Linked DNA regions of Arabidopsis thaliana. The protein of the gene in region 1 interacts with the protein of each later gene in a biochemical or structural test. Each region holds a gene or a part of one and is shown in the gene's direction. Other genes may lie near its edges.

Region 1 (8,451 bases):
TTAGGTATGTATCTGAAACTTGACTTAAGAAACAAGGAAATGAATAAGAAAAGATCGTAAAAGGTATTGGTTTAAAAGGAATCAAAATCAAATACGCCGATTCCATGCCTATACTTTAGGATATACAAGCAAACTAATAATAAATAGTCAAGCAGAAAAAATCCCATATTTTGGATGGATAATGAATGTATCCCACAATCCAAGTTCACTAAGATAAACAAATAATACTTTCACATGCAGAAAAGATAAACAAACTTCATTTCCTAATTCGCATGTATAATTTGACAGAAATTGAATTGAACATTTACTAGTTACCCGTTTGGAAAATGAAATTGCAAACTTATTAGATGATGTAACGAACTAAATATATAACATATCATCGTAAATATTGTAAATATGTTCACTTTTATAGCTTGATTAATGGTAAAATGAAAATTTGATCTAAAGAAAAGGCAATCTTATCTAGATGTGAAAACGCAAAGTGTCGTTTTTCACGTGTGAGAATACTGATTGACTGGACTAGTACGTAGTAATATGGAGATGCCGTGCGGTTGAAATGTCTGTATAAAAACATTTCAGCACCCATTCCTTACAACGTCGTCAATGTTAGATTTTGCCGTTAGTTTTTATTTTATTTTGTTTTCAGTTGTCATAAACTTATTTCAGTTATCAGTTATTATAACTAATTGTTTTTTGTTCCTCTTTTCCTGCTAAGTGTAAACCTATTGCACAAATTTCTTGCATGCGTGTTCACCGTATATATGTTTTTAATTCCTCTTTCGTTATTGGGTTTTTAATGATGAAATAAAACGGAACTCAACTAGGGACAGTACAGTTCATGATCATATTGGATACATGTATTAGTTCATTTAATTTAATTCAATTATATACACAATAGTTTATTTAATTTCTCTCTAAATGATTGATGATGATTGACGTTATTTTCACGGTTTTGGTACCGTATAAGTTTAGTAAAGTGTCAAAACGACATTGTTTGTGAAACATATGGAGTATTTTTTCAAGAGTTAATTTGCCACTCTATCATATCGTTTCTAAAAATTGAAATCATTTCTAGTTTTAATCCTGGTTTAGCTGTAGTGATACTATTATGCTCCTCATTCTCACAATTTATTTCTACTTTGTTTCTTTACCTTCACAATTTCTGCCAAATGAGATCAATATAGACGTCTTCAACATCAAAGTTTTTGTTTATAAATACAAAATTTAAAATAATAATTTTGGTCAGAGTCGATGGTTATAAGGTGATGGGCGTGATGGCAAAGCATGTGACAAAGTTTTATGTCCACTATTCTCTTTTCGCCTAACGCAAATTCGTGTACGTTACAACTCCCTAATAATAATGCGTTAATTACTCTGCCAAGCTCATTTTCATTTATTACTTTACATGTTTTTTTTGTTTAAAGCATTGTCATATTTATTGTCATTATGAAACCCAAAATGAAAGGAGTTAATTAGAGATCATTGTTTTCATCTAGAGCAGAGCTCTGAAACTGGAACCAATTATTTGGAGTCTTGATGCAAATTCATGTAGCCTTGGAGCTCTGAAATTGTTCTTCTATATGTTTGCTGATCAAATTGTTAAAATAATGGTGAGACTGAGACTCATGGTTTAAATACTAGCAAAAATGGTAAATTTAAAATCCCCCTTAGCCACGGACCTTGAGCAAAGAGTCTAGTGTATGTGTCTATATATGGTTCACCTTTTGGATAAGAAATCAATTTCAAGCTCATCTTTCTACATAGAGAGAAACTTGGATCTTGTACTTTTTAAGATGGAAACATCCATAAAAAGGTAAAGATAAAGCTGATATGGCAAAACGCCAACAAAATCCTACAAGTAAATAAATCTTGGGCCAACTTTAATGTTCCTAAAAGAAATGAACTTAGCTACAAAGTTACTAGTCACGTCTCTGCTGCCAAAATTCTTGACACATTCTTTACACTTCTTCGAACAAAGAGAATGGTTTGATCCACAAAGGATGCAATGCGCACCGCTTCCACAACATTTGATCTGTGGCATAAATCAATCTTGCACCATAAGGGCTTGAAACTTTCAGCTTTTGCCACTAACACTCTAACGCAAACTTGTGTTAGACTGCAACCAAATGAAATATTTGAGAAGCACCAGATCCATTAACAGCAACTATGAGCCCATTACAATGATTTGCCTCCATCAGTGTCTTGGATCGCTAACACTATCCAATAACCAGCCTAGCTGGTACTTAGACAGAATTTTTTTTTCTTCTGGATCTGTGAAAATAAATGTAACATGAGCCATTGACTAAGATCTAGCTCTAATTAACTCAGTCAAAACGACGATCAAAAGATTGAACTATTGGAAATGGAAGGGGCCGCGCGAACGCAGGCCCCCAAGGCAACAAATAATGACGCAGGATCTCCCACTTGGGGTGACCTTTGGCTTAGCGCACCTCAAGTGCAGGAAGCCACCAGCCTAGGCCACGGATCTTCATGATCACCCGTAAACCCCGTCCAGGTAAGTAATTTGCAATCCTCGACCATCTTCTTTATTTATACTATGCTACACACGAGTGCCCATCCTCAAACTTCCGATGAGGGAGCATCAACATTATCTCGTATCTACTATAGGCAGGCTTTCGTTGTTTGATTAGCCCAAGTTTTATTTCTTGATAGGCCGCAATGTCTATATTCCGGTCCAAATCAAACCCAACAGATTTTTTTTTTGTCGGCTATTTGTCACAGATTTCTTTTTATATACGAGGAACAAGGTTAATTATATTGAACTAAACATTAAAAAAAAAAAAGAATTTTACAGATGCAGGTTGATATTTAACGTTATTGTGGGTCAACTCAACTCATAAGCAAAGTTGATATGATACTATTTAAATTGACTTCACCACATCCACTTGACACTAATAAATTGACTTCTCCATCCCTATCCACACATATTTGAATCTTCCAATAAGGTTCCACGAAACTGCTAGGAAAACAATATTTTCTAAGGCAATAGTCCCACTTTGGTTAATCATAAAATTGTCAAATCCACTATGTAATTTGTGATCCATAATAAATTAAACCAGTTATTCATCATCTAAGTCAGACACTATTTTAACTCTAGAAAACTTGACAAAGTACATGAAATGTTTTTGAAGTGAAGTAACAAAATTCCAACATGTACAAAATATATATTTTTTTTTTTAAACGAAAATATATACACTAGAGACCTCACCTATTTTTCTTAATAATATCAAATCTCACATATTTGATGTACACACAAAATTAAATTTATAGAAAATGAAATATATTATTTTAGAAAAATAAGGAGAAACTTTGTGGAAAAAATAGAAAAATATTTAAATTATTGTTTTTATAAATTTTATTTTGGGTTCGAACTCTTCAACTCCCTGAACACAAGTCGCATAAAACGAAGGAACAATCTAGAAGAAGAACGATAACATCCAATCTCTCTTTATATTCCTTCCTTCCATTGTGGCAATAAGTAACAAACCTTGCCCTCTACTTCATTCCCTCCTTGTTTTGATTTCATCGTCTTTGTTAGCTCTCCTCTGTTTTTTTTTCTTAGTCAATCGATGGCGAAGGAGCTTGCTGATAAGGCTAAAGAGGCTTTCGTAGACGATGACTTCGATGTTGCTGTTGACTTGTACTCCAAAGCCATTGACTTGGATCCTAATTGCGCTGAGTTCTTCGCTGATCGTGCTCAGGCCTATATCAAACTCGAAAGCTTCACTGGTAGCTTCTTTGTTCTGTTATCTTCGTCTTTTACTGTCGTGGACGCCTTCTGGGGTTCTGGGTTTTTGTATGTTTTCGGTTTCTTACTTCATCATAGCTGAAAGTTGTTGACTTTGCTGGATTATGTGTATTTAGGGTTTCGTTTTGTGTCCTGTCGCTTGATAGTGTCACAATTCTTTTCGAAAGTTTAAAGCTTTCGTATCAATTTGATACTAATGTGTCTCTCTTTTGCTGTTTGTGGAGGAACAATGTATCGGAATTGCTTTCATGAGAAACGAAATTTAGTTATTTGTTATCAGTAGCGAGTGCCCTTTACAAGTTATGCATTCAAACATTGGTTTAAGTTGGTTTTAGCTGTGCTAGTCTTTTGATTCTTTGATTGTGAATATGGAGAATTTTGTTTACAGATAGTGTTAAGTATTAACGGAGTATTGAAAGTTTCAATTTTTGCTTGAGTGATTAGTCTTTAGTTCAACTATTTCTTGCTTTAAGAAAGTATTCTCTGCATTTTTAGCGTAGTATCATAGAACTTTACTAGTTGGATAAGATTTTGGTCTCATTTGATTCTCAATGAGCAGAGGCCGTGGCAGATGCGAACAAAGCAATTGAGTTGGATCCTTCATTGACCAAAGCTTACCTAAGAAAAGGGTAACGTTTTGCTATTTCCTCCTATGTAACATTTTTAAGTCGTATATAAGTTGTAGTGAGAGTTTAATTTTCTCTGATTCCTTAGTCCTTAGATTGTTTTACTACCAGTTTATATGGTCTGCAAATGTGGTATATATCTGTCAAGCTATTACTTCCATTGTTCATGGTTTGGTTTTTGTATTTGTAGAACTGCCTGTATGAAGCTTGAAGAGTATCGGACTGCTAAAACAGCTCTTGAAAAGGGTGCCTCTATCACGCCGAGTGAATCCAAATTTAAGAAGTTGATAGATGAATGCAATTTTCTAATCACAGGTATGTTTTTTGTGTTTTTTTCTTGTTTTCTGGTTGATTATGTTTACATGCCTAGAGTGATTGTATTGTTTGCCATGGTGCAAAATATTTTGTTATGTAATTCACCTAAGGTTTTGATCTATGGAACTTGTAAATATCCTTTTTCCAGAAGAAGAGAAAGATTTGGTTCAACCGGTGCCTTCGACTTTGCCTTCAAGTGTGACAGCACCACCAGTATCTGAACTTGATGTCACCCCTACAGCCAAGTACAGGTAGTTTTATTGTAGAAAACAATACCAAAGTTTTTAAGAATCATTAAATATCTGATATTCTTGAGTGTTAACAGGCACGAGTACTACCAAAAGCCAGAGGAAGTTGTGGTAACTGTTTTTGCAAAAGGAATACCCAAGCAGAATGTTAACATCGACTTTGGTGAACAAATTGTGAGTATAAGGCTCTTAAGAACCCAACTCAATGGCACTTCTGTGTGCTTGTGTGTTAATGGTATTGTTTTGTGTTTTGAAGCTGAGTGTTGTGATTGAGGTTCCTGGAGAGGATGCGTATTATCTCCAACCGAGATTGTTTGGAAAGGTAATTTATCTGTTGAATGAATTAATGTTGGTTTTTCTTTCAACACTCTGAGCTGAACATGTTACATGACTTTGTTTTACGGTGTATATTCAGATAATACCAGATAAGTGCAAATATGAAGTATTGTCGACCAAAATTGAGATCTGTCTTGCAAAAGCCGATATAATCACATGGGCCTCCCTCGAACACGGCAAAGGGCCAGCGGTTTTGCCAAAGCCTAATGTCTCATCAGGTTTTCTACCTTTTCCTTCTTCAGTGTCATCTGATGAGCTTAAACAACAGTCTCTTGTAATGTAAATCTTATGTTGTATGTATGATGATGCAGAGGTTTCACAGAGGCCAGCTTATCCATCTTCTAAGAAAGTTAAGGACTGGGACAAGCTGGAAGCTGAAGTGAAGAAGCAGGTCCGTCTCTTACCATGTACTTAAAACCTCGACCAAACGGTTTTGTTTTTTCTCTTCTTTTGTTTGATTGTGGTTGACTTGCAGGAAAAAGATGAGAAGCTGGAAGGAGACGCAGCTTTGAACAAATTCTTCCGGGAGATATACCAGAATGCGGATGAGGATATGAGGCGAGCGATGAGCAAATCATTTGTGAGTATCTCTTTTCATGGAGTACTGTAAAAGTTTTGTCCTTTTGATCGACTCATTTATGGTTTTCGGGTTTTGAACAATGAGCAGGTGGAATCGAATGGGACAGTGCTGTCAACAAACTGGCAAGAGGTTGGGACTAAGACAATCGAGAGTACTCCTCCGGATGGCATGGAGCTCAAGAAATGGGAGATCTGATCTGATATGATATGATGATCCTTTCCTTTTTATGCAGTTGTGAATTTTGCCTAAATGTAGACAAATCTTGAAACCTGGTCCCTTTCTTCCTGTAATGAGGATCCTAAGGTTTTTGCTTTTTTGTTAAATATGGCTTTCTACCTCTGCTATGTTGTGACTTGTGAGTTATATTGTCTTTAGGTCTCAACTTTTTTGTTTTTGTTTTTATTTGAGTATTCATAATTTCATCATGATCACTATTCTTTAGTTTTTGTTAAAACTTACTTAATTAGTCTACAAAACCAAATATATCCCAAGTATGGAGTTAAAAGTCAAAGAATTGAGTTAACCTCTCGATCGAGTTGTAAATTGTCACTTTAGAGTCGTCTCGATCGAGTTGTAAATTGTCACTTTAGAGTCGTTTTAAACTTAAGTATGGAGAAAGTGATTTTTTATTAAAGAGTTATACAATATTTGTAATTATGAAAGGAACTACGTTACCGACTTGGTGTTGTCCAATGGTATATTTTCTAGGTAGAGATGTTGGATTCGACATCTTTAGAGATATGTTTTCTTTAAAAGAAATGAATTTAACTTGTTGTAGATCCTGCTTCTCGAACATATAGAGCCTTCGAACTTAAACTTCCATATATTCCAAAGAAATAAAAAACCCACGTTATTTGTGTAAAATTTTTACATCTCACAACCTTTATTTTCCGATAAAATTGTGATTTTTTAATATATATTGACATGGAATATTCTTTTGATTATGCAGGTGATCAGAGCATCGAGTCAATAATCCTTAATGTTCAATAATCCAATCAGCCGCACGTAATAGGAGAAGAAATCTATTTGTTTTTAAGGCCGCCTATGATCTATATATATGAACTACCCACACCTGTTTTAACTAACAAAATCTAAAGTTTTCTCAACTAGCCAAAAAAAACCCTAAAAGGCTCTGATCCAATTTCATCCGTCAAAAATCTTATAATAAATGAACTATCTTAGGTTGACCAACGTATCTTCTTTGATCACCTTGATAAGAGAAAGATTTGGTTCAATCGGTGCCTTCGGCTTTGCCTTCAAGTTCGACAGCACCACCAGTATCTGTTGATGTCACCCCTGCGACTGCAGCACCAGCTAAAGCCAAGTACATGTATTGTAGAAAACAATGCTAAGTTTTTAAGAATCATTAAATATATATCTCATATTCTTGAGTGTTAAACAGACACGAGTACTACCAAAAAGACAGAGGAAGTTGTGGTAACTGTTTTTGCAAATTCAGATTGTATAGTGAGATTAAGTAGCGAGGTTTTTTTGAAGTAAACGCCATTTGTTATCTCTCATGTGTATTTTTCCTTGTTTGATCTCTAATGTAACAAAGTTAATAATGAAAGCCAAAAAAACAAAGCCAATTTGGCTTCTTGAAAGATTTGGGTGAAGATTTCATTAGAATGTTACACCCACACTTAAATGAAAAACTTAACACTAAATATTGGAAGACATACTATGATGATACATATCCATATCAAGACTTTTTCAAAGTCTTTACATCGGTAAAACATGTAAATAGTGGAAAAAATTGAGGCAGTTAACATTTTTAGTTGAATGATGAATGATTTATCAAAGTGAGCCAGCTTTGCAACAAGAACTTGATAGTTACATGTTGCCAAATAAAATTGCAAAAAAAGAAGAAAAAAAAATCTAAGACAAACAGTTCGACAAGACTATCAAAAAGAAAATGATAAATATTGCATGGGTGGTTGACAAAATTCACCAAACCGTAGCAGTAAGAGCATGCACTAAACCCACATAACCGTTTGGCGTTTTGGATATAAACACATTGTCAAACCACTCAAGCGTTCCCCAAATTTCCCCATTTTGGTGTTTTTCAATCGCAATTTCCGCACACCAAATCTTTTTTTCCCTATCAACAAACATATACTCCTCCCAAGAAATCGCCATTTTTCCACCATGATCCGCCAATTTAACATTTGAATGAGAAGTAGGCAAACTAGGCAATCTTCCCAAGCCCTTCAAAATTGTCCATGCTCTATTCTTGAGGTCATACCAACGTATCTCCCCCTCACAGTAACGGTAGAACACGTTCTCTACCACACAATAAGATGATGATGACGACAGACTCCATCCATTATTCATACATATGTCTGCCTCTCTCCATTTACCTTTATGCATCTTGTAAGTCACATCTTTTTCATCAGACTTCACATAGACGGTTCCTTGATAACTTACGCTTAAGTACTCAGAGCCTTTGCATATCTCCTCGCTAGGGATCTGTAGAAACTCCCAAGTTTGAGTCTTCGTATCAAAAATCTCCATCCAGTTCATTGTATCGAGATTGTCGCAGCCTCCCGTAACATATATTCTCCCATCAAGAGTACA
Region 2 (7,768 bases), on another chromosome or scaffold:
GGAATTCTCAATGACTAAGGTAGGTATATCCTTACATTTGACTAACTTGAATACAATTTCATGTCGACTTTGCAATATCACTCTGACAATCTGTTGTTCTTGTGTTAATGCTACAGCTGAAAGTCGTTGGCCCAGTTGCTGTCCTTGGAGGGCTTCTTCAAATTGTCTTACTCATGTTTTTGTGTGGTGTAACTGCCTTGGTATGGCCAAAGATTTCAGTATGTGTGCATATACGGCAATCTTGAAATTATTTTTAGAATTGATATCTGATGACATGTGCAGTTGTGTGGAGCAAGGTTGTCAGAGGGTATTTTTGTTGGTGCCTTTTTATCTATGTCATCAACTGCAGTGGTATTTTTCTTTTCTTTTGTCTTCTCAAGTTTAATACAAAAGCTACTCTCTTTCCGGTTTCATCTCAGAGTTTCTGTTTCTAATCCACATGTCAATTTGACCAGGTGGTAAAGTTTTTGGTAGAACGGAACAGTACAAGTTCTCTTCATGGTCAAGTTACTATAGGGATACTTATCTTTCAGGTTTCACTCACATCACTCTATATTTACAAATTGAATATTTCGTTTTACGAAATTTTTGTTTCCTTTAGCTTAATCTTGAATTTTCAGGACTGTGTTGTTGGTTTACTATTCGCCTTGCTTCCAGTTTTGGGTGGTAACAGTGGTTTACTACAAGGAATTATATCAATGGGAAAGCTGTAAGTGGTTCCCTAGTAAGAAGTTTGTCCAGGAACCTCTTATATATCCTCATTACCGTCTCTGACATAAAACATTTTCTTCTTCTAATTTAGGCTACTGATATTGTCCATATATCTCACTGTGGCATCTCTATTAACGTGGTCATTTGTACCTCGTTTTCTGAAGCTAATGATTCAATTATCATCTCAAGTACGTTTTAGACGTCATATCTTCATATACACTACTTGTCTATCTTTATTTCTTTCTTAAAGTGGGATCCAAATTATTGCCAATGTCTCTCATTATATAATGCAGACAAATGAACTTTACCAGTTAGCTGCTGTGGCATTCTGCTTACTATCTGCATGGGTAAGTCTAATTCTGTCATTTCTTTGCATACTGGTGCTTGCTTAGCTTTCTGATCCCTTTTGGTGTATTATAACATCTGAGTTAATTGTTACCTGAGCTTGCATCTTACTAATAGACTACAGAAGAAAAAAATGATGATTACAATAGACACTGAAGTATTTAAGTATAATAGCATATTGATGTAATTTCCAATTTTTAACTTAGAGTGTTGGTTCCTCGCAAAACTTTTTCAGTGCAGTGACAAGCTGGGTCTTAGTCTTGAGTTGGGATCATTTGTGGCTGGCGTTATGTTGTCTACGACTGAATTTGCTCAACATACACTAGAGCAGGTATTGATTCTAAACTCAGGTCGCTTTTGCTTTGCGAGTACGTGGTACAAAATGAAGTCTTAAGGTGGTGGAATCTCCCTTACTTTGTGATGTAGGTGGAACCAATTCGTAATCTGTTTGCCGCTCTCTTTCTATCTAGTATCGGGATGCTCATTAATGTTCACTTTCTATGGAACCACGTGGATATCCTTCTAGCGTCGGTGATTCTAGTGATAGTTATTAAGACAGCAATTGCAGCAGTAGTTGTTAAGGCTTTTAGGTACAACATGAGGATATCTTTCCATGTGAGTTTGGTCTCTCTACTTAAGCTTTTGTGAGTTTCTACATATTATACTATTAAAACCAATCACGTAAATTTCTTGTCACAAATGTTATATATAGGTCGGGGTACTGCTTGCTCAGATTGGAGAGTTCGCCTTTGTTCTTCTAAGCCGAGCGTCAAACCTACACGTAATCGAGGTAACACCCTTTTACCCTTGTAGTTGAACACACTCTTTACCATTTTCTTCTTCCTAAACTTTGTGGCTTTGGGATTAATATGAATGACCAATGTAGGGGAAAATGTATCTACTCCTTTTGGGCACAACTGCTCTAAGTCTCGTAAGTTACCTAATATATGCAAACAAGCCTTTTCCATTCTAAGAGAACATACTTAAAATAATATTTAGTTCAAAACTGATTACCTGAAAATGCTGTTACAGGTAACGACTCCGTTGCTATTCAAGTTAATACCGAGTGCAATGAACCTCGGTGTCCTGCTTCGATGGTTCCCTTCTGAGAACAGTTCTCCGAACGAGGTCATTCTCTTTTCCAGATCTATTTATATTTAAGAACTGAGATAAGACATGACATAAAAATGAAAATAGATGTATTGATTATAGGAAACTGACTTGTGAGGTCGTGACTGAGAGTTTTGTTTGTAGAGTTTGCAGGAGAAAGCATCATTGATAGAAGTACATAACAGAACCAAGTGATCTCTCTTTTGTACATTGACTGAAGATTTAAGAAGAAAAAACAGATTTTGATCCGATATACTCAACTAGGAGGCAGAAAAAACATTTGAAACTGACCAAATCAGATCCAAGACTTGCTTTTTGTATTTTCTTAACTCTTTATTTTTTGTAATATCGTATATATTTAGTATTCACTACCTTCTTGTGTAGTTCAAGCGCTTATAGCTTGTTTTACTTGGTGTAAACGTTGTAACGATATTAGCCTTATATGCTGTTGTTTCTTTAATGTTCATCACAAATAAGAATCTCAATAGAAACCACAGAGTTCTATAATTGTGTGCTCAAACTCCACATATCTAAAGTGCGAGCAACAACTAGATGAATTTAGAGGTATAAATCCATTGCAATGCACAACAAAAATAACAAAAAAGAACCCTCCTTAGAAGAACAATGACATCAAAGTATAGAAAAGGATTGAGGTGGAATGAAGTAAGAGGCTGGTGAAATAGGAATTTAGTAGCACATATATGAGGACACGTGGAGCTTAGTGATTGGTTGAAATAAGAAAAGATACGTGGATTCGATTGGTATGAGCTGAAGTTGCTCAAGCTTAAGATCAAGTTGTTCATCGTCTTCTTCATTATGCAAAAATCTGAGAATTGTAAACTTTTCTTCTTCTTCCTTTCTTGTGTGTTTGGGGTTGTTACTCATTGTTAGTTTGAGATACTTCCTTCAATTCACTAATATTATTTATTTACGGGCAAATCTTAATGTGAGATTTTTGCATAGTGAGAAGTGAATCTGCGTTTTATGAACATCGTTTCAATCTATAGTTCGATTTCATTTGTGAGATTGTTGAGTTTCCTGTATCAGCTGGTTAAATAGCAAATCTACCATTCTTATCACCATTACGGAGATTGAATTTTCCGGAGTCATGGCTTTCCACGTAGTAGATGAAGTTTGGGGATAGGCCATACAAGCAAACTTGGAGACGGAAATATATACAAATAGAAAAACAAAATAATTAAGATTAGTTTTGCACAAACTTTGCAAAAACATCAAAATAGGTCCGACATTTAAATCACTTGCTTAGGTCTATAAAATAACACTCCCATCATTCAACATATTTTTCCTCTTGTGGGTTAGACCTACAAATCCGTGGATAAAACTCTTTAAAAACCTGTAATCTGTAACATATTGGCTTATTATCCATCACGCATGCTATTTTATGGACATGAAAATAATGTCCAAGCGGACCAAGCCCGCTCTGCATGGTATTATTTGGGCCGAGGCCCGTTTTACTCATCAGTTTTCATTACCGGTCAAAACTCAAAAGTCAAAATTTTCTAAAAGACGAAAAAGCCCTTTAATTTGATTTCCCAATACTTTTTACTCCTACCTTCTCAATTCGTCCGATTTCTTCACAAATTCACGAGAGAGATAATGGAAGTAGGATCTGCAACGAAGAAGCTTCAGTGCCAACGTATTGGCTGCAACGCCATGTTCACCGATGACGACAATCCTCAAGGTTCTTGTCAATTTCATGCTTCCGTACGTCTTCTTCTCTCCCCATCTTTAATCGATTCTTCTCTTTCTTTTCTAAGTCTTCGATAGTTTCTGATAAACCCATAGAGTAGCTTTTGAATTTGATTTTATGATGTGAGGTTACGAATTTCGATTTTTGATCATGAGAAGATGATTACGCAAGTGTTTAATTAGGTTTTGGATTAGCTGATTGATTACATGTAGATTTCATTTAGTTGTAAGTAAGTAAGCTTTGAACACAGCTTTGATTGTCTAATTGTCAAATTTTAACTAAGTTGTTTGCTTGCAACCTATGAATTCTGTGAGACTGTGAGCTTATTAGAACACTTGATGGAAGAAAGCAAAAGTATATTGCGTAAAATTGAATAATCCAAGTATTAGATCTTTTGCCACCGTTTATGGCTATGTGAGGGAGAGTGTACGTACATGCAGCGACTTTTGAATTGTTTGCTTCCAACTTTTGCCACCGGTTATGGCTATGTGAGGGAGAGAGCTCGTTAAGACTGTCCCTGGAAGTGTAATTAGAACAATTGTGTATAGAAAGAAGGCTTTATCTCAATATTCATCTTAACATTTGGCCTTGTATACTAGTGTTTCTTTCATATTCATCTATTGCTTTGAGCTTTTTATTGTAATTCATCTTCTTTTATTATCTTTTCTTTTTCCGGTGTGGCTGGGGCTGGTCTTTGCACTGACTACTGGTTTTTGTTCAAGCAGGGAGTAAGTCAAATTTACTCTTCAAATACTGTTTTATGTTTTTTTTTTTGTTTCACACTCGCTTGCTCAGAGAATTAAAGCTACCAAAGTTCAAACTTGCAGCCATTTTTTCACGACGGAATGAAAGAGTGGAGCTGCTGCAAGCAAAGAAGTCATGATTTCAGTTTGTTCTTGGAAATTCCAGGGTAACTAATATCCTTGTACCCCCTCATAATAATTCCTCTGTCTTTCATGGTACATATTGTAGTTGATTGCAAACACTGAAGATGTTTCTTGCAATGAAGATGTAAAACAGGTAAACACACAACTGAGAAACCAGTTCTGGCCAAATCGGTTCCAAAACATCCTGTTGCGGCTCCTACTTCATCTCCAGATGCCAATGCAGCAACAAAAGACTCTTGCTCCAGATGCCGGCAAGGCTTCTTCTGCTCAGACCATGGTTTGTATCTTTATTCTCTCGTCTTTAAATTCTCGTTGCACATTGGTTACATGCATGACCTTCTATCTAATTTTGTGTCCTTCTTTACCACACAGGATCCCAACCCAAAGAACAGATCAAGCAGACCCTGAACACACCGGGACAAGCAGAAGAAGAAAAAATTGAACCCTTAGCGCCTCCAGTACAAAAGGCTGTGATAGACATTAATCAACCGCAAGTCTGCAAAAACAAAGGATGTGGCCAAACATTCAAAGAGAGAGACAATCATGAGACTGCATGTAGCCATCATCCAGGTCCTGCGGTCTTCCACGACAGACTGAGAGGGGTAACACGTTCTTTGTTCAATCATTTTGTGACCCTTTTCTTTCACTGTTTGAATTTCTATTGAATATCACTGTTTTCTTTGTGTAGTGGAAATGTTGCGATGTTCACGTGAAGGAGTTCGACGAGTTCATGGAAATACCTCCTTGCACTAAAGGATGGCATAGCAGCAGCCCTGATCCGGCGGTCTGATATATTTTTTTTCCTGAGATTTTCGATTCAAAGATTAATCATCTTTTCTAATTGTGTTTTCATGTTCTTCTTATCATATGGAATTCTATTTTAGATTTGTTATAGAACCTTTCAGTTGACAGATATATGTAATGGTTAAATGCTCATCTTCTGTGTTTTGGATCATGATTATGGCTTTGATTGTTGTTTTCAAAACTTTGAAGATCTTTAAATAATTTCACCAATATTAGAAGGACTATTTAGCAACTTTTAAAACGTAGAGACAAATTGCGAATATGGAAAAATAATTTGCCAATTTATCTCAAAACTTTTGTATTTATTCGACTCTTTTTCAACTTCGTTACTCTCAACGAACGGCTCGAATCTCTCTTCAACGCCGGAGGCAACAACTATCTCCGCGGCGGAGCATTTTCCGATGAGGTTGATAGTACCTCTCCGTGGAGTAATTCAAGGCCGTGGTGGTCTCTTCGTCGGCTCTCTCATTCCTTGTTGTCTCTTCTACTTTCTCCAGCTCTACCTTAAACGACGCCGTCCTCCTCCCTCCGACCCGACGGACTTACCGAGAACTTTTTCACGGACTAATCTCTTCTCTCGCGGGAACTCGATCGGACGAGTTCGAGTCTCCTCCCGAGCAGTTCCTGTAGCTAAACCTTCCGATTCGCCTTATTACATTGGGTTGGAGAGAGTCAAAACGGATCCGTACGATCGGATTACGAACACGGATGGGATTATTCAGCTTGGATTAGCCGAGAGTACGGTGAGATTTTAAAAGTTCTCGATGATTTCTTCTCTTTGTGATTGTTGCGATGAGGTTTAATCTGATGGGGATTGCTTTTGTGAGTTCTGTAGCTGTGCTTTGACTTGCTACAGAGATGGATGTCAGAGAATTTGATGGAGTCAATGATGCAATCTGATGATGGTGAATTTGATATTAGTAGTATCGCCATGTATAAACCTTTTGAAGGATTACTTGAACTCAGAGTGGTAAGTGCATACACCATTCACTTTTTTATTCTTCAAATTTTTTGAGGAAGGATAGCTTTTTGCAGTTATTAGTTAAATATTTGACTGCAAACGTGTATCAGAAATTAGAAGTGGTTTGATTGATATATGTTCTTGTATAGGATCAAAGGAATGTTGATTATATATCAGAAATTTGTGTATTCAAACTTGTGGATTTAGTTGTCCCAACAATGTAGCGAAGGAAATTGAATTTCTTCTATTCCTATCATGTTTCAGGCTTTTGCTGATTTCATGTCACGAATAATGGGAGGTAATGTGTCATTTGATCCCTCAAATATGGTTATAACAGCCGGTGGGACTCCTGCTATTGAAGTATTGGCCTTCTGTTTGGCTGATCATGGAAATGCTTTTCTAATTCCGACGCCATATTATCCAGGGTAATTTTTAGTTTACACTTCTCGACCATTAGTATGTGGTGAAACTTTTTGATTTATACACCAGTCTTCTCTTCCTATGCGATGTACTAAGGAAACTTCATTTTGCAGCTTTGATAGGGATATTAAATTCCGGACAGGAGTGGAGCTTATACCAGTACACTGCCGTAGCTCTGACAATTTTACTGTAACGGTTTCCGCACTGGAACAAGCTTTGAATCAGGCTAGAAAACGAGGAAGCAAGGTTTCTGGCATCCTCTTTTCAAACCCGTCAAATCCTGTTGGAAACATACTATCAAGGGAGACGCTTTGTGATATTTTGAGATTTGCTCAAGAGAAGAACATCCATGTTATTTCTGATGAAATATTTGCGGGTTCTGTTTACGGGGACAAAGAGTTTGTTAGCATGGCTGAGATCGCTGGCTCAGGGGAATTTGATAAGACTAGGGTTCATATCATATATGGCTTGTCAAAAGACCTTTCAATTCCTGGTTTTAGAGCTGGAGTCATCTACTCCTTTCATGAAGACGTAGTAAATGCTGCAAAGAAGCTGATGAGATTTTCATCAGTGCCAGTTCTAGTTCAAAGGATACTTATCTCTCTACTATCTGATGTAAGATTCATTGAGGGATACATGGCAGCACACAGGCAAAGGATCCGGGATAAGCATATTCGGTTTGTGGAAGGTTTGAAACAATTAGGAATACCATGTGCTGAGAGTGGTGGTGGGTTGTATTGTTGGGTAGACATGAGCAGTTTACTGACATCTTACAGTGAGAAAGGAGAACTCGAGTTATTTGAGAAGCTATTGACTGTT

Evidence for each region. Proteins that work in one complex are often made in the same cells at the same time.
Region 2: the proteins of SGT1A (region 1) and PBS2 form a complex in vitro, tested with the Arabidopsis thaliana proteins (one study listed by BioGRID).

What each region holds. Positions count from the first base shown.
Region 1 is NC_003075.7:12,296,425-12,304,875, forward strand, and holds SGT1A (phosphatase-like protein), read left to right. Parts: upstream 1-3,453; 5' UTR 3,454-3,590; coding exon 3,591-3,750; intron 3,751-4,325; coding exon 4,326-4,398; intron 4,399-4,585; coding exon 4,586-4,710; intron 4,711-4,858; coding exon 4,859-4,961; intron 4,962-5,035; coding exon 5,036-5,132; intron 5,133-5,214; coding exon 5,215-5,280; intron 5,281-5,373; coding exon 5,374-5,512; intron 5,513-5,605; coding exon 5,606-5,685; intron 5,686-5,769; coding exon 5,770-5,874; intron 5,875-5,961; coding exon 5,962-6,069; 3' UTR 6,070-6,295; downstream 6,296-8,451. Other genes in the region: AT4G23580 (Galactose oxidase/kelch repeat superfamily protein), read right to left, coding at 7,822-8,451. UniProt on the Arabidopsis thaliana protein: Functions in R gene-mediated resistance, but participates in a lower extent than SGT1B to RPP5-mediated resistance. Not required for RPM1, RPS2, RPS4 and RPS5-mediated resistance.
Region 2 is NC_003076.8:20,999,159-21,006,926, reverse strand, and holds PBS2 (cysteine and histidine-rich domain-containing protein RAR1), read left to right. Parts: upstream 1-3,640; 5' UTR 3,641-3,783; coding exon 3,784-3,891; exon of another isoform or gene 3,892-4,602; coding exon 4,603-4,605; intron 4,606-4,704; coding exon 4,705-4,787; intron 4,788-4,886; coding exon 4,887-5,041; intron 5,042-5,136; coding exon 5,137-5,366; intron 5,367-5,452; coding exon 5,453-5,554; 3' UTR 5,555-5,783; downstream 5,784-7,768. Other genes in the region: KEA5 (K+ efflux antiporter 5), read left to right, coding at 1-19, 117-200, 283-351, 456-533, 621-709, 803-899, 1,005-1,058, 1,292-1,387 and 5 more; ACS12 (1-amino-cyclopropane-1-carboxylate synthase 12), read left to right, coding at 5,970-6,311, 6,404-6,538, 6,794-6,954, 7,063-7,768.